3 linked regions of the Ovis aries genome follow. The protein of the gene in region 3 interacts with the protein of the main gene of each other region in a biochemical or structural test. Links are inferred from orthologs where the notes say so. Each region holds a gene or a part of one and is shown on either strand. Other genes may lie near its edges. The genes, in order: TNFSF13B, TNFSF13 and TNFRSF13B.

Region 1 (7,702 bases), on a different chromosome or scaffold from region 3:
AAATGTGAAAATTCATTTTTCCTCAGTTACAGGCTTTATAAAATTCCAATTAAATGTATCTAAACATATATAGATAACTAATATAAACTAAAAGGGATAACCTAAGGCTTTTGAGCTTTACTTAAAATAAGTCACAACTAGAATGGAATCAAGAACCAAAGAAAGTTCCATAGATTCAAACTGCATAGAACCTCCTCAATTGCCAAACCTCCTCAATTCCTTACCAAACGGAAAACAAAGGAAAATCATGTAGCTTCATACAAGCTTCTTGGTATATACATAAACAAATTTTAAAGTAGTGCTAAGCAAAATGGACATTTTCTCTGCTTGAAAGGATGGAACATTCAAGTCAATTTTACTGACAAGACTTGCTGATAATAACTGTCATTGAGTTTCTCATCTTTAAATTTTTCCTCTGGGATCTATGAATGCTATAAGTATATGTAGAGAGAAACATAGAGATATATATGTAACTAAGTACTGCATATGTAACTAAATATACAATGTATATTCTCTACATATATATGCAGTTTGTACTGTATATATACACGATATACATACATAAATATAATATATATACCATATATACGCTACATTAAAGTTCTATAAAAATCTGAGATAAACCAGGATATTGATAATAGTGATTACATCTGTGCTATGGAAACTGGGTGGATTCTTATTCATTGGTTAGAATTTTCAGTTATTCTCCAAATTGTCTAAACATTGAAAGTTATTTGGGGAAGAATTTCTGTGAGTATATCCTTTTTGGATGCCTTAGACACACAAATGTGAGAAATCATTCACATGGGATGAAATTTTAAAATATTAATATATTAATAGAACATATTTTGGGGAAGTGGGACTTAGGGAGTTATTCATTTCTTACTCAGTTTTTTCCTTCTTAAATCTGCTGTAATGGGTCTATATCCTCTTGGAATAGGCGAGCTAGGGTTTATTTTTAATAATAAATTTATAGGCAAGAGTACTAGCAGACAAGGTTGAAGGAGAATGAGGCATTCTCACCCTACTAGATATTGAAGCTCACTTTATTACAAAATTCCTTAAAACATTTAATGCAGATAAATCGGATAATAAATCAATGAAAAAAAGCAGTCTCAAAATAGATTCAACTATATATGAGGAACTCAATACAATATAGTAAATGTTTCAACGCAAATGAACTAAAAAGAATCGTCTAATTAATTTGGTTTAGATATTTAGCAACACTTTGGAAGGAAAAAGTAAGAGAAGAAAGGAGAAGTTAAGGCTAGTATAACATGATTCTCCACAATAAACTCCAGGACTAACGGATTTAATACCAAACTACAACACTAAATTACTAGAAAAAAAGTCAAAATAGCAGAAAAAATAGCAAACTGCTTTAAGAGATTATGGATAAATATGTATTTTAACTTTGGTATCTTACAGAAAATTTTTAAAAAGGCTATCACATTAAAATATACAGATGTAAGATGTCTGTACAAGTTCTAAAAAGCAGCAAAATATTGTGAAAACATTTACATCAAAATTTTGATAAACAAGATGCCTAACACAGAGCTTATTCAAAATTATTTTAAAAATAGGACAGATGAGTGAGGGAAGTTATAAAAATTAGTAGAGGATAAAATTAGAAGCTACCAAAACATGCAAAAAGAAGATAATTCTTATTTGTAAGCAAGCCACAAATTAAATTTGAGGCACTATTTTTCACCTACTGAGCTGGGCAAAATATGTCTTTAAAGGTAAAGCGTGTAAGGCTGTGAAGCACTTGCACACTGCATCTCTGCTGCATCCATTCATAGTCCATCTGGATGCTGCAGCAGGCAGCGAGGGCGACGAAGATGCCCATCCTCTGTGGCTCAGACATTCTATCTACGGAATTCACATTGAGTGTATGCATAGAATTCCTCAGAAACAAAGAGATTTGCGCAAAAATTTTGACATGTTCCATTCTACCAAAAAAAAATGGAAATGATCATAATTATAAGACAACAAATAAAATCAGTATATGTGAGAATTACTTAGAAATAAGGAAAAAGTTTATTGTGCAATAAGTCAACACAAAAATATGCCACAGTATATGTGCCGTATTTCTTCAATTATGCAGAAAATATGGATGACAAAATGCAAAATATGAAAATTAGGATGTTATAGTAAAAATATGAGCATTTTCCAGTTTTAAAATGTATAAACCCAGTTGTTTCTGACAACTGGCATGGGGGTATGATAAGCAGATACAAAATGTATTGCCGTATAAAACTAGGGAGGAATTTTTTCCATGAATAAGGCATTTAGTGAAAAATAAGTTTACAGAAGGAGCATCGTGTGTGTGTGTGTGTGTGTGTGTGAGAGAGAGAGAGAGACAGACAGACAGACAGAACACCTAACCTATCTCTCAAGCACTCTCCTTCAAAGTGCAAATACAGGTAAATAATTACACCTCATCAGTTTGCCTCATAGTCAGCACTAAGGTTAAAGGAAACAGACACGACAACACCTCTCCCCCATACAAGCCTGCCTGGCACATTCTAGGGGTTCAAAAAATGCTCCTGTAATATAAACGGGAAACAGCACCAAGGGTTTATTAAATTGCAATATTAGTAATGCAATGCAAATTCTCTTTTCCATCCTTGACATGGAGGATGGAAGGAACTGAGGCTGAAAGTTTGGGGTGTCCCCCCTCCCAAATCTGAGATGTCTCTGGAGCAGGTAGAAATCACTGAAGAACTATTACAGATTATAAACCTGCGGAGCTCCTGGAAGAGCATTATAATAAGGACAAGCTTTAAAATCTCTGTGCCCCAGTGTGTAAAATAGGCTTCTTTTTGAAAAGGGAAGAAATCGCATAGAGCACCAACGTGCACCTGCCTGGTCTCCACGTGGTTTCGCAGCAGCTACGCCCCTCGGAGATGCGGTCTGCCCCTCGTCTGGACCAAACCTCATTCCAGACTAGCTCCTGGCGCTTCCCCCCCGCCCCCGCCCGGGGACTGCCAGACGGTGCTCCCGACGTGGGCGCGAGCTCTCTCTTTGAGCGGAGAGGTGAGCCCCTCTCCCCTCTTCTGTGCTCTAAGCGCCGCGGCACGGACGGATGCCCCCAAAAGGTGCTGCCACACGCGGTCAGCCCAGGACACTGGCCAGGGCTTGGCTCCGCCCTGGGGGGCACACGGGCTTGGGATGCCTTTTCCAGCCTCCGGCTTCTGTTCGGCGTCCCTCTCCCAGGCAGGATGCTCTCCTCCTCACCTGAGCCCTGGAGCCCGGACCCCTGGGCGCTTCTGTTCCCCGCACACGTACCTGTTTCTTCGGCCTCCTGCAGGGCACGCTTACTCCTGCCGCTCTGGCTGGAATTGCTTTCTCCCGGAGCTGGGGGTGCAAAGATCCGCTGCTAAGAGAAAAGCCCCACCACGTTACTGCCGGGGCGTCGGGGTCTGGGGCGGGGGCGGCGGCGGGGGGCTGCGGCTACTGCGGCACACTCACTTTCAGGGCGGGGGTGACGCCGGGAGCCTCCCGCGGGGCCGCGGCTCCGGCCTGGGGGGCGCCCGGCCGCCCCCGCAGCTCCGCCCGGAGGCTGCCCAGCTCCGCTTGCAGGGACGCCACCCAGCAGAAAGCCAGCACCGTGAGGCAGCTGGACGAGGCGGCGAGCAGCAGGGTCACGGCCAGCAGCTTTCCATCTTTGGAGCACCGGCCGGAGGGGCTTTCCTCCTGGGGCAGGACGGAGCCTCCCTCCTTCAGTTTCATTTCTTCTCTGGTCTGAGGGCAAGAAAGGCGGGACTGCTCCCCGGTGGAGTCATCCATTTCCCTCCTTGAACTTTGCAGGTTGGGGCCCCTAGCCTGAGTGACCACAGAGAATGGATCATTTCCTGTTATCTGGGTTTGTAGATGTCCCACTTTGACTACACGGCCCAGCCCGGCGGCGCTCGCCCTGGGGCGAGTTCTCCTGAATTTTCTCCTCTCTGTCGCGGCTGCATCTCTTGCCCCAACTGTAGGCTAGGTCTTCCTGGCATTCACCCTTCTATCCGATTGCTCAATCGGTCTTCCTCATTTCACTTTCAGTTTTTGTAAGAATTTTAATGGCATCTCAGAACACTCATGCACAGACCCGGGTGGGGCGGGGGCGGCCTGAAGATCTACTGATGGGGAGGGAACTGGCAGTTCGGACCAGCACTCTCTGGGGAGCTTTTAAGACAGGAAAGTGTTTGAAGAGCTGCCCCTCAGGCATTAGGAGAGGACTGGGTCCACTTGGGGCCACGTGGCTTTGTAGGGAAGCGGGAAAGAACAGGAATAAACTCCTGCTAAATGTGATCAAGATAATCCATGTGAAGGTCAGATAAGCTAAGTGCTTCAGCAGTGAACCGGGCACCCCTGGAGAGTGATTTACGAACAGTCTTTAAGTAGGAAATAAAATGAAGTGTCCTCAAAGGAGGCGCAGAGGTCCGCTGGAAGGCACTCTGCTCCATTATCGTCTTGGTGATGTGATAAAAAGAATGTTCTTGCATTCTGGAGAACTGTTTAGATCAGCTTCGCGGGGGGGGGGGGGGGGGGGGGGGGGGGGGTGGGTGGGAGGTGGAGGGTTGGGGGGGGGGGTAGCTTTTATACGTGGGTGGGTGCAGTTTCCAAGAGAAATCTGAGGTCTTCCTCCAGGGACTCTGGGATCCTGGGAGGCTGGGAGTCAGCCATTCAGGGGCGGGCCAGGCTCCAGGACCCTCCCACCTCTGCGGTCCCCACTTCTGGAGCTGCAAGTCCCCAGCACACTGGTTGGGAAAGAAGCGACCTTCTCTGGCTCTTGGTGTCCCCGGAACCCTCATTAACTGCTCTCTTCCTAGAGCAGCTTATCTGCTCTTCCCCATTAGGCCCACTCGAGCCAGTCGAACATATGACCCAACCTGGGTGGATGCGGCTCCACCCAGAGGGGCTTGGCCTTCAAGTCTCCCTTGTTGGACATGGTGTGGCCTGTGAGTCAGTGTCCTCTCTGGGTGGGTGATAACTGTCCCTGAGAATCCTGACAAGACTCCCGGGAATGTGGAGCAAGCTGCCCTGAAGATGCTTCCATTTCCATTCATCCCATTCATTCATTATGTGGAATCTATTCATTCATTTTATGAACAGAATGTTTCACTTATTCAATTGTAATATGTTCATTATTGCCGCAATGGACGTCTTTGCAAGGGCTTCGCGGGCACCCACCTGCTGGAGAAAAGGCCTGTGCTCACCTTGACCAGGTGTCTCCGAGTTACCTGCCAGGACTGCATGCTTCCTCCGTGTCTCACTAAGTGTCATGTCATCAGCCTTATTCATTTTTATCTATTGGGATTGTTTTTTTTTTTTTTTCCCCTTTGCACCTGCAAGCTCCAAGACCTTTAAAAATGACTTTTAAAAATATTTTTCTGTTTAAAAAAATGAAAAAGTGTTTCAGTGATTCCCTTGGTCCCATTTCGCTGGTGGGAGTCGTCATCTGTCAGTGGGTGTGCAGAATCTTTTGTGGAACACAAGCTTCCTGACAGTGCTTGTTTCCAGTCAATCAGGACAAAACACACCAGGTAACAGTTCAGTTTTTCAGTTCAGTTCAGTCACTCAGTCATGTCCGACTCTTTGCGACCCTATGGACTGCAGCATGCCAGGCCTCCCTGTCCATCACCAACTCCCGGAGTCCACCCAGACCCACGTGCATCAAGTCGGTGATGCCATCCAGTCATCTCATCCTCTGTCGTCCCCTTCTCCTCCTGCCCCCAACTCCTCCCAGCATCAGAGTCTTTTCTAATGAGTCAACTCTTCGCATGAGGTGGCAAAAGTATTGGAGTTTCAGCTTCAGCATCAGTCCTTCCAATGAACACCCAGGGCTGATCTCCCTTAGGATGGACTGGTTGGATCTCCTTGCAGTCCAAGGGACTCTCAAGAGTCTTCTCCAACACCACAGTTCAAAAGCATCAATTCTTTGGCACTCAGCTTTCTTCACAGTCCAACTCTCACATCCATACATGACCACTGGAAAAACCATAGCCTTGACTAGATGGACCTTTGTTCAGTTTTTCAAAAGAGGATTAGTTTGGGGATTACTTTCTGACTGAAAGTAATTGGAACTCACCCAGATTATATGGGTGTGTATTCCCAGGTGGTGCTAGTGGTCAAGAACTCGCCTGGGTTGGGAGGATCCCCTGGAGAAGGACATGGACAGAGGAGCCTAGCAGGCTACTGTCTATAGGGTCTCAAAGAGTCGGACACGACTGAAGCAACTTACCACACATTCATAATACCTAAGCACATAGAAAAACAAAAGAATTGAAGGCAGTGCTGGAAGCCGAGTTCTCTCTTTTTCACCCTGGACACCCGCAGTGTCTTTCTGTGGGTGGGCATCCTTCCCGTTCTGACAGGCCACTTCTCTCTGTGTTCTGCAGTAAAAGTTCAGAAAAGAAAGGGAAGACTTTCCTATGAGAAGTTAGCTTTGCCTTCAGCTGCTCTTCGGAAAGAGAACCATGAGCGGTCTGCCTGCATCCCAGGCGGTCCTGGACCACCAGTGGGCGGCCCCAGCGAGAGCTCCTCCCTCCAAAGGCAGAAGGGGGAGGGCCCTGCCCGGGACACGGGCAGGTGAGGTCCCCACGCCCATGGCACAATTCGGTTTCTCAGAAAACAGGTAGAAAAGGAAGCTGGCGTTCGTGTGCTCTCGAATTTCTTACTAGAGGAGCAAAAGGAAGCTATTACTCCATCAGTCTAGGACGTGTTTCCTGCAGAGGAAAGGGTGTGGCAGTAAATTAACCGAAAATCTGCCCAACAGATTGTAGTCATTGACTCGCTGGTCACAGTCACGCTGGTTCAGGGCTGGGGCTGAGCCAAGACTTCTCTGCCGTGATTCAATTCCTTTCACCCACTTCTTTTCCTCTTGCCTGGAAAATCCCATGGACGGAGGAGCCTGGTGGGCTGCAGTCCATGGGGTCGCAAAGAGTTGGACACGACTGAGTGACTTCACTTTGACTTTTCACTTTCATGCATTGGAGAAGGAAATGGCAACCCACTCCAGTGTTCTTGCCCAGAGAATCCCAGGGACAGGGGAGCCTGGTGGGCTGCCATCTATGGGGTCGCAAGAGTCGGACACGACTGAAGCGACTTAGCAGCAGCAGCGGCAGCTTTTCCTCAACTGGAGTGTCCAGCATTCTCGTGCAACAGAGCTAAGACACACTGAATAAACAAAATGAGTCCTCTGTCCCGTGACCCATCCACTCAGCAGAGGGCAGAGAGGATATTTGAACAGAACTAAAGTCAGGAGTTTATCTCACTGATGAATCACAGCGTAAAACAGACATCCGCTCTATGACCACTTGCTTCTTATATTGATAACCTCAAAGATATTCAGAAAGCTTAACTTCTGGCTTAACAGTCCTATGAGGAATTAACTGATTTGGAAACTCTCTTCCATATCCATTTCTTTGAGGAAAAAAGTATCTTTCATAAAGATTTAGATGATCCAAGAATGGAAACAACAGTCCTTCCAGAAAGGTAGCTGTACCTAAAAACAGATCCAGGTAAAACCGGCTTCCTCAAGTACTTAAAATATGACAAATAGTTGGATACAAATAATTACTACAGAAAAAAATCATTTTGCTTTCTGGTGGAAATAAATACATTCAGTCATTTGCTATTGTCATTACAGTGAAACTTGATTTGGAAGGCCAAGCGCTAATTGCTCTAATTGAACCAGAAGTAATGGTATGTT
Region 2 (7,769 bases), about 7.7 Mb from region 3:
CCTGGTGTTCCAGGCACCCCGGAGGCTGAACTGGGGGCCCTGACACGTGGGTGCAGTGAAGCGCGTCGGAAGAGGGCTGGGAGGTCCGTGGGCTGGGAGGTGCGTGGACGGGGCTGAGGCACAGCAGTGGGGGAAATGGATCCAAGGTCTTATTTATTCTTTATTTTTAAATTTTGGGCAGGGCTTGCGCAGAAAGGAGAGATCAGAGGAGTGAGTCAGGATCAGGACTGGGGCGTATGATTTAGCCAAGGCGACCCGGCCTGCCGGGCCACGATAGTGGACAGAGTGAAAGCAAAACTTGGGACCTGAAGAGTAATGGTGTGGTTGAAAGGGGGCCGTCGGCATCAGGCACCCTCTGCAGACCGGCGCCTAACAATTAACACCTCTGGAGATAGTGATGGAAACTGGAGTCCAGTAGATAGAGAGCGAAGTGAGGATGGGGTTTCTTGTAGGTGGAGAGGCAGAGGGTACCTAAAGAGAGGTGTGGTGTAAAGCACCAGGAGTTTGAGCGGAGGAAGAACTCGTGGACATTTGCCAACCGAGAGGATGGTTGTCTCAAACCGCCGCTAGATGGTGGTGCTGTTCTGGAAGCATTCCAGTGGGACCCAAAGGAAGTCTAGACAAAGCCTGGCATTTCCCACCCCCAACCCTACCCGACTCCCTCAAGAATTTGGGGCTGGAGAATAAGAAGAAGCTATTCTACCTCTTTAATATCCGTGAATTCAAAGTCCTGGGGGTGAGGGTGGGAACAAGGGAGAGTCATGAGCTGTCAAACCTGGGGGCAGAGGCAGGCCTCTGTTCCTGACTATTCCCTGTCCTTTGTCTAATCAGCTCTTGGCCGTCTCCAAAGTGTACCCACCCTGGTCTTCCAAGCTCAGAACTACCTTTTACAACACAGTCACAGTTTCACAAGCCCCAGGAAGGTTCCATGTGGAGAGAGGCTAAGTTTGGCCCTTGCCCGAGGGATTATAACACTCAAGATATCCCCGTGGTGTAAATGGAAGACACCTGAGAAAGGGGAGAAAACAGATGCTCAGTGAAGCACAGCCATACAGATAATCTGATGTTTCCCCTCCCTTATCCAGCTCAACGTTATGTTTGTCTCCTGTAAGGACTACCACATTCTGTCCATTCCTCACCTCCGCCTCTACACCCCAGCTTCCAAGCCCCTGCCATAGCTCCCCTACTTGTTGCCCCAGGTCAGGCATCTGCTCCCCTCATAACCACCCTGCACCGCCCACCCACCTCTCACCTGCACTGTAGCAGCTGTTGTAGGCCCAGTCAGGGTTGGAGGGCATGCTTTGTATGCATCGGAATAGAGTCTCTTGCCTTCCTTGTCCCTCCCGAGATACCATCTGACCCATGGTGAAAGTCTCATCATGAAACAGGACCTGACAGGGAAGGGAGGGGATGCTGAATAAAGTGGGCTGGCATGGCTCGGGTCCGGGCAGCCTCAGGAGCCCTGACAAAGGAGCCAAGGAATGAAGAAGGGCCCTCTAAGTGGGGTATGGATAGGGGTTAAACCTCAGTGCTGGGGCACAAGGCTTTGGGAAAACAGACCTCCAGGCCCTCAGGTGAGGCTCAGAGGATATTTGGGGTTACCTGGCTGTACAGCAGATAAACTCCAGCATCCCAGACTCGAACAACATATCCTTGGGCCTCCAAGCCTCGCCCACGCTGGAGAGCTGGTTGCCACATCACCTCTGTCACATCAGAGTCCTCTGGAGGCAAAGAATGTGGCAGTGAGGATTTCTGTGCACACTCAGACACTTATTCTCTAAGGTTCTCTTTGGCTGATGTGCCAGTCCCACACTTCCTAGATCTTGCCCCCGACCCCAAAGCCATGATTGGAAATAGTGCTCACCCTTGGAGGTGATGTTAATGGGAACAAGATGCAGAACTGAGCGCTTCTCTGGGGAAAGAGGGAGGAGATCTCAGCAGTTGCACGACTGTCAGCCCTCCACCCTCGCCCTGGCTCAGGGTTGCAGTCTCCAGATCCCCCTGCTGTGGATCACCTCCCACCCCTGCTGCACCCCGGAGGCCTCACTCTTCTGTTTACGGGTGAGCACTGCTCTCCTTCTCCGGGATCTCTCCCCATTCTCCCAGCCTTCTGTGCCATCAGGGCTCTGCTTGTGGAAAGAGGGTCAGGGTTAGGCTAAGATGCAAGGGTCCCAGGAAAGCCTTTCCCCACCCCCACCCCCCACCTCCCACCTGCCCCAGGAATGCCTCACATCTCTCCTGCACCTTTCCCCAGCAACCTGAGTCTGGGTACTGGCTCTCCTCCAGAATCTGTTAGGTATGAAAAGCATTAATCTTTAACAATTTCCTTTCCTGGAATGCTTGCTCCCTTGACCTCCAAACCCTGGGACCCTCTCTTGCACCCATTCCAAACTTTGCCGACCAAGCTGCTAGAACTGAGAAACCCAGAGACCACCCTGCCACGCATCCTTTTCTGCCAGACATGCTTCTCCCCTCACTCACCTGCTCCTGGAGATTCAGCCATGGATTCCCTTCCCGCTTCTCGGAGGGCCCTCCGTTCCTCTGCAGCCGGGTCACCTCTCTCCTTAAGGTCTGCAGCTCGGTTTGTTGGGTCAGCAGAACCATGGCACAAGCCACAGCCCCCAGAGCCGCCCCCCAACTCAACCAGAGGGCAACTGAGAGTGCTGGCTCTCGGACGGGTCCCCCCATGTCTTCCTGGGGCCCTTTGGGGCTTAGGAAGGAAGGAGATGAGGCAGGCATGAGCTGGGGACCCTGCCAACAGCTGTGGTCTCAGGAGTGGGATGGCAAGGAGGTGACGGGGAGGGTGGGGGTGCAGGCAGTGGTGCAGAAGGGAAGAAGGGCGTTACGCAAGGGAGGAATAAAAAGGAACTTGAGAATAAAAAGAAGGGAGGCGGGAAGCAAGCTGGGGCACTGCTGGTGCTCTTGGCACCCTGCTGCGGGGCCAGCACTATCCCGAGACCCCTCACCTCCTCCAGCCTCAGGAGAATTTGGTGTTAGTCTCTCTAGGAAGGACAGGGCTCCCAGTGACACCCAGGAGGAGCGGCCAGAGCGCAGGAACCCCGGGGCGGCCCCAGAAGTGGGGGAGGGAAGGTTGGCTGGCTCTGGGGCATGGTGCCAGGAGCCGGGATGGAGAGACATGCTGGGCAGCACCGAGGGTCAAGGGTGGAGAGTGGAAGACCCTCGCGCCTTGGCACAGGTGAGATTTCCGGGGCAGTCCGCTCACCGTGACTGAAGGTGGGCGAGGAGGGGAGGAGAGGGGGTTAGTGGGGAGGAGAACCAGGGTCGGGGAAGCAAGGAACTGGCTGAGTTCCGGGGTTAAGGCCAGGCCGGGTGTGTTGGAAGAAGGCCTGCACTACTCTCTGCTGAACTTGGCAAGCGGGACTTCCTGTTTCCCCAGAAACGCTCTTACATAAGGCTCTGGACAAATGAGAAAGAGACAGCCAGAGCGCCCCACCACTGTAGGACTCCTGCCTGGACCCTGGGGCGCAGCTTCCCGTGTCCCTGGGCCCTAGTGTCCCACTTCCTGACCCTGAGCCCCCACGTCGCGCCTGCTTCCCTGCCCACCCCCCGCTTCCCCCCTCCCTGCGCCAAATACCAGCTCAGACTGGTGCCAGCACCTGCTGCAGGTGCCCAGGCTGCCAACAGGAAGGGCCGCTGCCCTCCCAGCCCAGGGATTCCCCACAGGAGGAAGCCCGCCTCCTAGGTAAATCAGGCCACTTCTGCTGGACCTTGGGCAGAGAATTGATTTTTTTTTCCCCTGGCAGTTTGCCTTTTGATTCTCTTCTCCTGCCTGGGGTTTCAAGGCACGTAGGTCTCCATGCCCAAGCCTGGATGTCGTCCTGGAATTCCAGGTGACCGTCTTCCCCCACCCCCCACCTCCCAGACCCCCACCTTCCATTGGCCCTCAGCTACCCTGAGGATATCCCCTAAGCCCCAATAAAGACAGCAACCATGACATATTCTCTTTAATATCCACTTATCAACATTTAGTCCCAATAATAATAAAAATAATATCTGTTTTAAAAATCCACAGGGAATTATCAGGGGAGGAGCCTGTCCTGGTCTCTGACCCCTCACATTCGGGAACTCCTGGCCTAGTCCCAGTCTCTCTGGCATCTGGCCCCTCTTAGTGGCTGAAGAGGGGGTATGCACGACCCATCATCACCCAGAGTACAGTAAACACAGTGTCCTGGGGGGCTGCAGCCAGGGTTGGGGAGTCAGGAGATAAATGGGGCTGGGGAGCTAGTGAGGTGGAGAGCTGGAGGTGGGGAGAGCTGTCAGCGAGGCTGGGAATATTTGAGTGGCACGGACATCACGTGAGCCCTGGCAGCCTTCCGGGGGTAGAGGCAGGTCTGGGGGAGGAGCAGCTCAGGGTGGGACAGAGGGGACAGGGGTGCTCAGAGAGCGGCCGTGGGGACAAGCCACCTGGAAACCGGGGCCCTTCAGTGAACTTGGAAGAGTCCAAAGTAGGTGAGGAAGGGGGCAGCCTTGAGTTGGGTCTGGGGGAGGGTGCGGATCCGCAGGGAGGACCCTCGCCGCAGGCGCAAGAGCCCTGACACCTGGCAGAGACGGAGCTGGGGCCCAGGGGAACTGGCCGCAGTGGCCGAGAATTCCTCCAGGCAGCGCAGGGCCAGCGTGTCATCCACCAGCAAGTCCAGCTTCAGGTAGACAGCCTTCCCCTCATCAAAGTGCACCTGGGGAGGCAGGGGAGGGGCAGAGTTCAGGGTCTGCTGGCCCTCGGCTTCATCTCAGGTGTCCTGAGAGGCCCAAGGCTCCTCTCAGCCCAAACCCCACGCTCCCCCTCCCCACCTTTAACTTGCCCCCAACCCCGAAGCCCAACCCTTCTCCTTCAGTTCCGGCTTTACCCGTGGAGCCAGGTGGGGCTTACCTGACAGTACAGGTAGTACAGCCCAGCCCGGGTGACCATAAATTGCCCGGTCTGGCAGTCATAGCGCAGGGGGTTGGAGCTGTTGATTTTGGCCTCCTCCCAGCCACTCACCGTCCCGTCCACACCTGAATGTGGGTGTTCAGAGACAGGGGAAATCCCTCTAGAGAACTTTCTCACACTGGCTGATGAGACACTGAGTTTATAAACCTCTGGGCCCACTTTACCCAGAAGATATCTAGGAGGCCCAGGGGAAGGGAAGAGCCGCGGCCTAAGGAGCTGGGAGTGTGATAGGAAGTTAGGGGAAGAAACCCGACATAGAGGACTAGAATGATAGACAGCAAGTTCTCACCAGCTGCTTCTGGAGAGAGGAGTAGGACTCAAGAAGCATGGGGGCTTTTATAGGTTGTGTCTGCACCATTTGCTCTTTTACTTGGAGAAGGTATGGATGCTTTACTTGAATCATATATTCCTTGGGTTATTAAAATTAAAGATAATCAAAAGGGAAAAAGATTAAAAAAAAAAAAACTAATAAAATGGTACCCAAACCTCCATCCATTAATGAATGGATAAGGAAAATCGTGTTAAGTCCATACAATGGGATAAAAAGAAATGGAGTACTAATGCAGGCTACAATGTGGAGGAAACAAGAAAACGCTATGCTAAGTGAAAGAAGCTAGTCACAAAGGATCACATGTTCTATGAATATCCAGGTGGCACAATGGTAAAGAATGTGCATGCCCGTGAAGGAGACTCAAGAGATGGGGGTTCGATCCCTGGGTCTGGAAGATCCCCTGGAGTTGGAAATGGCAACCCACTCCAGTATTCTTGCCTGGAGAATCTCATGGACAGAGGAGCCTGGAGGGCTGCAGTCCATGGGGTCGCAGGGAGTCAGACATGACTAAGTGCCTGAACACGCATGCACATGAAATTTCCAAATAAACAAATACATAGAGACAAAAAGTAGATTAGCAGTTGCTTAGGGCTGGAGGAGATCAGGGAAATACAGTGTGGTGGGTGAAGCGTACAGGGTTTCTTTTTGAGGTCATGAAAACTCTCTAAAATTACTGTAGTGATGGTCATACAATTCTGTGACTATACTAAAAGCTTAACTGTACATTTTAAAAAGGTGAATCGTATAGTATGTGAATTATATCTCAATAAAGCCATTAACAACAACAAAACTAGAGTAAAGGTAATTGCAAGTTGTAAAGAAGACAAAGAATCAAATGACAAAGCAGGGTCTCAAGTGACTTCCCAGCCCTCCATGAGCCACCCCTGTTTACCTCTCAGATCTAATCTCACACATTCCTCCAAGTCACAAGACTCCAGGCCCTCAGGCCCACTTTCTGTTCCTGCCAGGCACCAAGCTCACTGTTTCCACAGGGTTTTTACTGCTCTTCCCTCCCCCTAGGATTCCTCCCTCCCTTTAGTCAGTCTGGTCGCTCTGAGTGACCTCCCCAGGCCTCCCAGTCTGAAATATTAATAGCTAGTCTCCGTTAAACTCTCCACTCACCGCATCTCTCTCATAGCAGTCCCCAAGGACAGAAATCATCTTTATTTCCTTCTGTGATAGTTTGGGGTCTGCCTCCCCCAAGGAGCAGGGGAACTGGTCTGGTTACTGCACCTCAGGCCCTGCAGCTGGGCCTGCTCTGAGCAGACACCAAGCACATGCTGGTGGGAAGAAAACAGAGGAGGAAGAGGCTGTAGGGGCATCTGTCTCTTGTTTGGGTCCACAGGCTGCTCTCCGGGGCTTCCGGCACCTCATCTCGGTAGCCTGGGAAGCTTCCTTCCCGGCACCCCCATCTTCTGCCTGCCCCGGGGCGCTCTCCTGGTTCCTTTCTCAGGAACATAATGCTCACAGGGCATTTTCATCCCTACCTATGGGTTGCCTTGGCTTTTATTTCACAAGACTCCAATCTGAGTCTCCAGCTCTGCCCGTGCCTGCCCTGCCTGACACTGCTACCTGCCTGCCATTAGAGTAACCTCCCCATGCTCCCCACTGCAAACTCACCTAGACCAAAACTGAGCCTGCCCCCCAACCCCAAATTTGCTTGACTGCATTCCACATTGGGCTCCTGGTTCTACCTCTTATCAAGCACCCAAGCCTCTCTCTCCTTCACCAGCTTTATCCACTGATCACCAGTTGCTAGCAAGCCTGCCACCTAAGTAGCTGTCTCCCTCCCCTGTGTGTGTGGACTCGGCCATTTCTCACTGGGACTCTGTTCAGGCTCCTTCCTCTTTAGGCTCCCTGTTTCCACCGGGAGTAAACTGCCTGCTCCAGTTTACTCGCCACACTACACAGAGGCATAGAGTGATGTTTCTCAAATGCAGACGTGAGACTCTTCTGCTTTGACTTCAGAAGAACCTCCAGACTCCAACTGTGACCTGGCTCCATATGCTTCTCCAGCCTCACCCCATCCTGCTCGTCTGGATCTGTCTCCTCCACCACATCGAGCCGCTTGCTCCCCGTCCTCCAGCCTCATCAGACTCTTGGCAAATTCTGGGCTTTTGTACAAGTGGCCCTGCCCCTCTGTCCGTCTTATACTCACACTTGGGTAAGAGCCCATGCCTCCTTGGGAAAGAGTCCCTGACTCCATTGTAAAGTTGTCTTCCTCTGTACTGGCCATGTGTCTCTTGCTACTTTCATTATTATTCTTGTCATATCACATTGTAATTTACAAATTTATATGCTTGCCTCCTCTCCTAGACAGCAGTTCCTTGCAAATAGGTCTGGATATTACTCAGTGTGGGCACCTAGCTGGGTGCATACAAACAGTAGCATCTCAGCTCATGTGTGCTGAGTCAACGAATGAGTAAATGTCTGGGTAACTGCTGAAATAATGGTGCAGAGAGAAGGGAGGAAGGCTGGCCTGAGGCATGA
Region 3 (7,600 bases):
GCTCCTTTGCAGAGGAGGTGTCCTTATGGACATGCATGTGACATGCACAGAGTTGACCCAAGACAGTTGCCAGGTGGTAGTTATTATTTGGATAAAGTGGTTTAAAAACATAATGGATTAATTATAATCATTTCATAATCACCAAACTCATGCCCCAGACCTGAGAACTTCCCCCAGAACCTCAGCTTGTGGCTGAAACACTGTAACTTCCCAAAGACATTTGTCCCTGCAGCTGCCATGTGGCCTGAGGCCTCTAAGATGTCTCAGGTATGCCTTCCTGGATAGCCATGTAGTCTGAGCACCCTCTACCTGGTGGCATTTCTTTGTTTCTGACATTTATTTATTTGCGGTCATTGCGGCACTTGGAATCCTTAGCATGCAGACTGTTAGTTGCAGAGTGTGGGATCAAGTTCCCTAGCAAGGGATGGAGCCTGGGCCCCCTGCACTGGGAGTGCAGAGTCTTAGCCACTGGACCACCAGAGATGTCTCAGCCTGCTGATGTTTCTTATTTTGAGTTGGATATTCGGGGGTGTAGCCGTCTGCCTCCTTACACTGTCTCATCTGTCTCTGAGCCCACTATAGTGGGCATCCATAGTACCGGGCATAAGTGGGTCCTGAGCAGATGCTCACAGAGCCATCCTCAGGGAGGACGGGTGGAGTGGGAAGCAGTCCTTGTTCCTGCACGGTGCATCCACTGAGGCACTGATTGTGATGCTGCTGAAGAGGAGGAGTGAGGACGCTCTCTCTCTATTGCTCTGGAAAGAATTCTAAGATATAGTAAGTGGAGAAAAAAAAAAAAAAAAACAAGTTCCATAACAGCATGGCTTATAGGCTCCCTTCTTCTCTTTCTTTTTGCAAAAAAGGGAGAAAGTTCTAATCTACATTTATGGGTATGTACATAAAGAAACACTGTAAGGAAACAGGAAACCAAAAACAGTGATTTAGGTAAAATAGTTAAGAATACATTGAATGAAAGAAGTGCAAAATTTGTACATTGAAAACTACAAAACATTCCTGAAGACCTAGTTAAATGGAAAGATATCCCACATGCATAGATGGAAAGGCTTAATAGTGGTAAGATAGCAATATTCTTGAAATTATTCTACAGATTCAATGCAATCCCAGTCGAATTCCCAGATAGCTTTTCTGCAAAATATGACAAGCTGATCCCCTAAAATCATATGGAAACGCAGGAGACCCAAAAGAGCTGAAACACTCTTCAAAGAGAGCAAATTTAGAGGACTCACACTTCCCAATTTTAAAATGTACTACTAACCAGCTGTAAATAAGACAGTGTGGTGCTGGCAGAAGGACAGACATGGGTCAACGAAATAGAATCGCAAACTAAAGCCGAGCATTTACAGTCAGTTAGTTTTCAACAAGAGTAACAAGAAGATTCAACAGGAGAAAGTATAGTCTTTTCAACACATAGTGCTGAGACAGCTGGATAGCCACTTTCATAAGACTGAATGTGGACCTCTGCCTCACACCAGAAAGTAACTCACCGTGGATCATAGACCTAAATGTAACTAGACAACTTTTAGAAGAAAACAGGAGTAAGTCTTCATGCTTTGGGGCTGGGCAGTGAGACCAGATGCACAAATGGTTAAAGAGAAGATTGAGAGATAAGGCTTAATAAAAATGTTAAACTTTTGTGTTTCACAGAACACCATCAAGAAAATCAAAAATGGTTCACGGACTTGGAGGAAATATTTGCAAATTGAGTATCTGATAAGGGATTTGTATCCAGATTATAGGCAAAAACTTTTGCAACTGAATAATGAAAAGACAAATAACCCAGTTTAAAAATGGGTTTGGGAGTTAACGAGACATTTTCCCAAAAAGCTGTCTGAATGGCTAATAAGCACATGGGAAGATGCTGAACAGCATTTGTCATCAGGGAAACAACCAAAACCGAGCTGAGCCACCTGCTGGGACGGTGGAAATGAATGTACGGACAAGTGTTAGGGAAGATAGGGAGGAACGAACTCTTGTGTGTTCAGCAGGATCTTGAAAACAGTGCAGCCACTTTGGAAGACAGTCTGGCAGTTCCTCAGAATGTTAAACACAGAACTGCCATCGTAATGTAGGAGTGTGTGCTCTGTCATGTCAGACACTTTACAACCCCATGGACTGTAGCCCATCAAGCTCCTCTGTCCGTGGAATTTTCCAGGCAAGAATACTGATGTGGGTCGCCATGTCCTCCTCCAGGGGATCTTCCTGACCCAGGGATCAACCCTGTGTCCATTGCATCTCCTGCGTTGCAGGCAGATTCTTTACCACTAGTGCTACCAGGAGTCATGAGTGATGCGGCCCACCCGTACAATGGAATGTTACTTGGCAATAAAAAGGTGTGAAGCACTGACACCCTGCCACATGGATGAACCTCAAAATCACTGTGCTTGTGGAAGAAGCCAGTCATCAAACAGCACATTCCATTTTTAGAAAATATCCAAAATAGGCAAATTTAGAGACAGTGGTAGCCTAGGGCTGGGGGTGGGGAGGACTGTGGCGTGATGAAAATGCTCTAAAATTAGATGGTAGAGATGTTGCACAACTCTAAATATACTGAAAACACTGAGTTGTAGATTTTAAACTGGTGAACTTTATGTCATGTAAATTCTCTTAAGAAAGCTGTTTATTGCAGGAGACAGGAAAACTGGGCAGATGGAGGACCTGGAGGAGAGGAAGGCTGTGTTCTGTACCTTTTATACTTTCTGGGCTCCCAACCTGGGACTGGCATCTATTCATGAAGCAAAGGACCTAAACTAGGGGCTTGGGGTTAGCAGATACACACTACTCTGTACAAAGTAGATAAACAACAAGATCCTACTCTATAGCATAGGGAACTATATTCAGTATCCTTGTAATATCCACAGTCATTTTGCGATACAGCAGTAATTAACACAAACATTGTAAATCAATTATGCATTAGTTAAAAAGCAAAAGGGCCAAACAGAATTGAAGGGAGACTCCTAATGGTCCTTCCTTCATCTGGGGAGAAGGGAGGGGGACACCAGCCACCCCCCAGCCCTCTGGGAGGTGATGGCTGGTGGACAGAGGTAGATGGGAGCCACCTAGACCCACTCATGGTTGAGAGGCTCTGAGCCACTGGGCCAGATGACAGCCGCCCAGCTGACCAAAGGGCGCTGTCCCTGCGCACTCCTCCTCCACCCCCGGGACCTACGTAAGGTTCCAGAACCATCCTCAGCCCCAAAGAAGGGCAGGAGACACCCTAGATTGTTCCTGGCTGGCAGGATAGGGAAGGAGGGAGGGCTCTTGCAGGCCTGGGCTCCTGTGCTCCCCAGCTGTCTGCAGTCTCCCTCACTCGCCTGGCCTCATAGGCACTGGACCAAGAAAGGCCCCTGTGGTCAAGTTAGTTTGAAAAATGCTGGGCTAAGGAAAGTCAGTTTAGTTTTGTTGTTTCCAGCTGCAGTCCTTCTCAGAGCCTTCGCCTGTGGCCCTTCAGATGGGGCTCTGGTGGGTTCAGGGCCCGGCTGCATTTTCTCAGGGATATCTGATAGGGCAGAGGCAGACCTTTGTTTTACAACCGAGGAAGAGGAGCCCAGAGAGGTGAAGGGGGTCCTCCAGGGTGAGATCCTAACCCCCGACCAGGCATCAAACCCGACCCCCTGAGTTGGGAGGGGAAATCTTAACCACTGGACCACCTAGGAAGTCCCACCCCTTAATCCTGCAGAATATCTCTACTTTCTTTAATGTCCTTTGGGGTTTTACCACTTCTACCAAACAGGTGGGTTAGATCATTTAGAACGTTTTTTTCCCAGGCAAATATACAGGCTTTCCTAAGGACTTATAATTAGCAACACAGCGGGTCAGTGGACTAGGGAAGCCAGGCCCGACTCTGCTGCTCCTGCAGGCTCTGGCAGTGCCAGGCCCAGATCTGGCAGGCTCCTGACTTGTGGACCTGAGGGGTCCACCCTGTCAAAGCGACCCCTGGTCCCTGCCTGGTCCAGCTATCCCAGGAGTCTTGTATATTCGAGCCGTAGCTGGGGACACGTCTTGGGATGTGTTTGCTCCCCACAAAGAGAATCACGGAACGGCTGTGCTCCCTGCATGGCGTGTGAGGATGGAACAGCCTGGCCCGACCTGGGTGCTGCCTTCTGCTTTGGCCTTTGAACAAACCTTCAAAACCTCCCCTGATAACAATTCTACAGGATAAATGATCTGGTTTCTTTGATTAAAGAAAAGCAGCAAGGGAAAACATGAGGCATGATGGGAATGTTCTAGATTAAAACGTGTAACCAGAAGGATGGCGACTGGGTCCTGACTTGAACAAACCAGCTGGAAAAGACACAAGACAGCCAGGCAGTGTGAACCCAGGCGCTTGGTGACACCGAGGAACCATTCTTTGCAGAAGTCGTCCTGGCGTGAGGGCCTTTGGGGTTTTGTTTTTAAGAGAGAGATCCGGAGGTATTTACAGATCAAAACTGTGATGGCCTTTGAAGGCCCTGGCAGGGCCCAAGGGTCCTGGAAAGCGCACGCTGGGTCATGTCTGTGGGAGGCTCCTTAAGCTCTCCTACTTTTGCGTGTGTCTACTTCAACATAGAATGTCTTAAAAGTGTCCTGGCCCACCCGGCTCTGGGTCCTGGGCAGTAGAGGGACTTCGTGCCCGTGTGGCTGACCCTCCAGCCTCGTGGCTGCTCCCCTGGAAAGCAAGGCCAGCCCCCACCCTGGGCCCCCAGTCTCTGGGCACTCCACGTGCAGGAGGGTAGGAAGTCCCGGGGGGGCCCGAGCTCATCCATCTTCCATAGGTGCCATTCCCTTTGCACCCCCAAGGCCACACAGAGCCCCCAGCCAAACCCCCTCATGCCCCTCCCCTCCCCGCACCGCCTTCCCGGCTACTTACTCGGCTCCTCCTGGCTGCGGCCACCTTGCCTTCTCCGGCCCAGGCCACTCATTACTCAGGACGTTTATTCTTAGCCCAGATTTGGTTAGTGCCCGGCTGCACTTCCTGGGTTTTCCCCCCACCTATAGGATGTAAATCAGCGGCTGCCTCCTGCCGCACCTGCGCTGTCTGTCTCGGCCAAGGGGGTGGACTCGCCTGACGCTCCAGGAGCCCTGAGTGCTCTCTGCCGAGCCCCTGGGTGCACTGCACATGCCAGGCTGCAGCAGGTGGCCCAGCCCTCTTTCTCAGCAACCCTGTTCTCTTTCATTGCCCAGTCATCTCCTCCTCTTCCTTCTTCAGGCCCACCTCCTTCAGGAAGTCATCCCTGACTGCCCCCAGGCCAGGTGAATTATGATTCTCTGTGCTTCCCAACCCCAGACCTGACTCCTAGCCAGGCAGTCGTGAGGCTGAACTAGAGACGAACAGACTGGGCTGGAGTCTTGGCTCAGCCACATCCCAGCAGGAAGCCATGGTGGCAATTTAGTACTTAACTTATCTGTGCCTCCGTTTCCCCTTCTGTGAAGTGGGTGTAAAGGCAGCCCCTGGTTCACAGGTCACAGGTGGGGATGAGAAGGGGCTGAGTGCACCGTCAGGCCTCAGGGTGGTTCTCAGGGCTCAGCGTCTGGGACGAGCACTGCAGCCCTGTCAGCGTCACTTTTCATCCCCCCAGATGACAAAGTCTTAAAGTGTGCTGACATGGAGAGTGGAGGAAATCTGGGGAGGCACAAGCCCCGGCCCGTGCAAGTGTGTTGGTACCTCTGTGTGGATGGCAACACCGATACCTCTGATGTGGATGTCCACATCAGGTAACATGGAGAACCTATGCCTGACCCATGAACCAGGAGCTCTTCTCCAGGGGCCACAGGCACCCACAAAGCGTGCCCAGCAGAGCACGGTTGTTGTGGAAACAGTGCCAGTACCCACCAGGCAGCGATGGCCAAGCACACAAGGCTCACAGGCACAGCCTGGAACGCAACGCAGCCATCATAAACAGTGAGACAAGTCTGTACCGAGGTTGTGGAGACTGTTAAGACTGATGGTCGAGTTAAAAAGAATTGTTTGCAGCCTGATTCTTGCAGTAAGAGACCTTTCAGTGAAACAAAGACAAGCAGGCCTCCTCACCCACTTGCGCACCCCCAGGGCTGGGGCTCTCACCACCTCACAGAGAAGCTGGCTCCCAGGAGTGAGCAGATGGTGCCTCCAGGAACAGACCCGTTGCACCGACTGCTGTCTCTATGGCCACACACGGTCTCATCCTTTGGAGTTCTAACATCAGCAAAGTTATGCATGAAATGAAAAACGAGATCCACCCTGGTTCTGGGCAATGAGAGCTGAAGTCTCAGGTACCCCAACCACCAGTGTTACTACTGATCACAGCTTGTTAATGCTTTTGTTCAAACACTGTTTACAAGCAATGAGTTTTGTTGACTCTCTTTTCTTTAATTGGAGGTGTCATTTACACGCAGTAAAATACAGTATTCTCAGCAGGCAGGCCAGCAACTACTTACAAGGGGGCAAACCCAGGGAATGCTCCCCAGATCCAGATCTGAAATGTTTGCAGCCCCCAGAAGGCCTCCCTCCCCGTCACAGGCAGCAGCCCCCTCGCCCAGAATAGCCAGCATTCGGATGCTACCACAGACTCATCATGTCTGCTCCTGGGCAGGGAACCTACAAATAGGATCGCCACTTCTTTCTTCCAGCCTCTTTGCTCAAGGTTAGATTCTATTACACCAGACAGAACAAGCTGGGGGCCTTTGGGAATCTCAGGGAGCTTCATTTCCTTCTGCCCAAACAATGAACATGAAGCTCACATAGGACGGCAGCCCGTGGGACCCCTCCCCTACCACAGCCCCCCGCAGAAGGAACTACCCCACTGTGTGACTGCCCCCAGAGGAGACTGTCACCCCCAAGCTGGGACTACCCCTCTGTGTGATTCCCCCCAGCAGGAACTGCCCTCCCAGCAGGAACTGCCCCCTGTGTGACTCCTCCCCAGCAGGAACTGCCCCCTGTGTGAGTCCTCCCCAGCAGGAACTGCCCCCTGTGTGAGTCCTCCCCAGCAGGAACTGCCCCCCCAGCAGGAACTGCCCCCTGTGTGAGTCCTCCCCAGCAGGAATTACACCCTCCCAGTAGGAACTGCCCCCTGTGTGACTCCTGCCCAGCAGGAACTGCCCCCCTCAGCAGGAACTGCCCCCTGTGTGAGTCCTCCCCAGCAGGAACTACCCCCCTAGCAGGAACTGCCCCCCTGTGTGACTTCCCCCCACCAGGAACTGCCCCCCTGAGTGACTCCCCCAGCAGGGACTGTCACCTCCCAAGCAGGAACTGCCCCCTGTGTGACTCCTCCCCAGCAGGAACTACCCCCCTAGCAGGAACTGCCCCCCTGTGTGACTTCCCCCCCACCGGGAACTGCCCCCCTGAGTGACTCCCCCCAGCAGGGACTGTCACCTCCCAAGCAGGAACTGCACCCCTGTGTGACTCTCCTTGTGCCAGGAGCCCTCAGAGCAGGTGCCCAGATTTCTGCTTCTCATTCTGAAAGCAGCCCTTTCTCAGTGTCTCAGGGGAGACTCGGCATTCTAATTTTAAGCTCCGCCATCAAGGGGATGTGAGAGTCCTAGAACTGGAGCAAAGACAGGGTAACCTCAGGGTTTGGAGCTCGTTCCACTCCACTATGTTCTTAAACAGTTAAACAGGACATGG

The links.
Region 1: the proteins of TNFRSF13B (region 3) and TNFSF13B form a complex in vitro, tested with the Homo sapiens proteins (3 studies listed by BioGRID and IntAct, with this or other methods). The link is inferred for Ovis aries from reciprocal best matches to the Homo sapiens genes TNFRSF13B and TNFSF13B.
Region 2: the proteins of TNFRSF13B (region 3) and TNFSF13 form a complex in vitro, tested with the Homo sapiens proteins (2 studies listed by BioGRID and IntAct). The link is inferred for Ovis aries from reciprocal best matches to the Homo sapiens genes TNFRSF13B and TNFSF13.

The regions. Positions count from the first base shown.
Region 1 is NC_056063.1:83,014,503-83,022,204, reverse strand, and holds the start of TNFSF13B (tumor necrosis factor ligand superfamily member 13B), read right to left. Parts: upstream 3,982-7,702; 5' UTR 3,793-3,981; coding exon 3,475-3,792; intron 3,383-3,474; coding exon 3,292-3,382; intron 1-3,291. UniProt on the Homo sapiens protein: Cytokine that binds to TNFRSF13B/TACI and TNFRSF17/BCMA. TNFSF13/APRIL binds to the same 2 receptors. Together, they form a 2 ligands -2 receptors pathway involved in the stimulation of B- and T-cell function and the regulation of humoral immunity.
Region 2 is NC_056064.1:27,106,829-27,114,597, reverse strand, and holds TNFSF13 (tumor necrosis factor ligand superfamily member 13), read right to left. Parts: upstream 3,026-7,769; 5' UTR 2,740-3,025; coding exon 2,482-2,739; intron 2,290-2,481; coding exon 2,245-2,289; intron 2,127-2,244; coding exon 2,048-2,126; intron 1,913-2,047; coding exon 1,865-1,912; intron 1,722-1,864; coding exon 1,603-1,721; intron 1,392-1,602; coding exon 1,253-1,391; intron 1,009-1,252; coding exon 899-1,008; 3' UTR 885-898; exon of another isoform or gene 472-884; 3' UTR 143-471; downstream 1-142. Other genes in the region: TNFSF12 (tumor necrosis factor ligand superfamily member 12), read right to left, coding at 4,443-4,694, 4,889-5,013. UniProt on the Homo sapiens protein: Cytokine that binds to TNFRSF13B/TACI and to TNFRSF17/BCMA. Plays a role in the regulation of tumor cell growth. May be involved in monocyte/macrophage-mediated immunological processes.
Region 3 is NC_056064.1:34,839,240-34,846,839, reverse strand, and holds the start of TNFRSF13B (tumor necrosis factor receptor superfamily member 13B), read right to left. Parts: upstream 4,925-7,600; 5' UTR 4,920-4,924; coding exon 4,868-4,919; intron 1-4,867. UniProt on the Homo sapiens protein: Receptor for TNFSF13/APRIL and TNFSF13B/TALL1/BAFF/BLYS that binds both ligands with similar high affinity. Mediates calcineurin-dependent activation of NF-AT, as well as activation of NF-kappa-B and AP-1.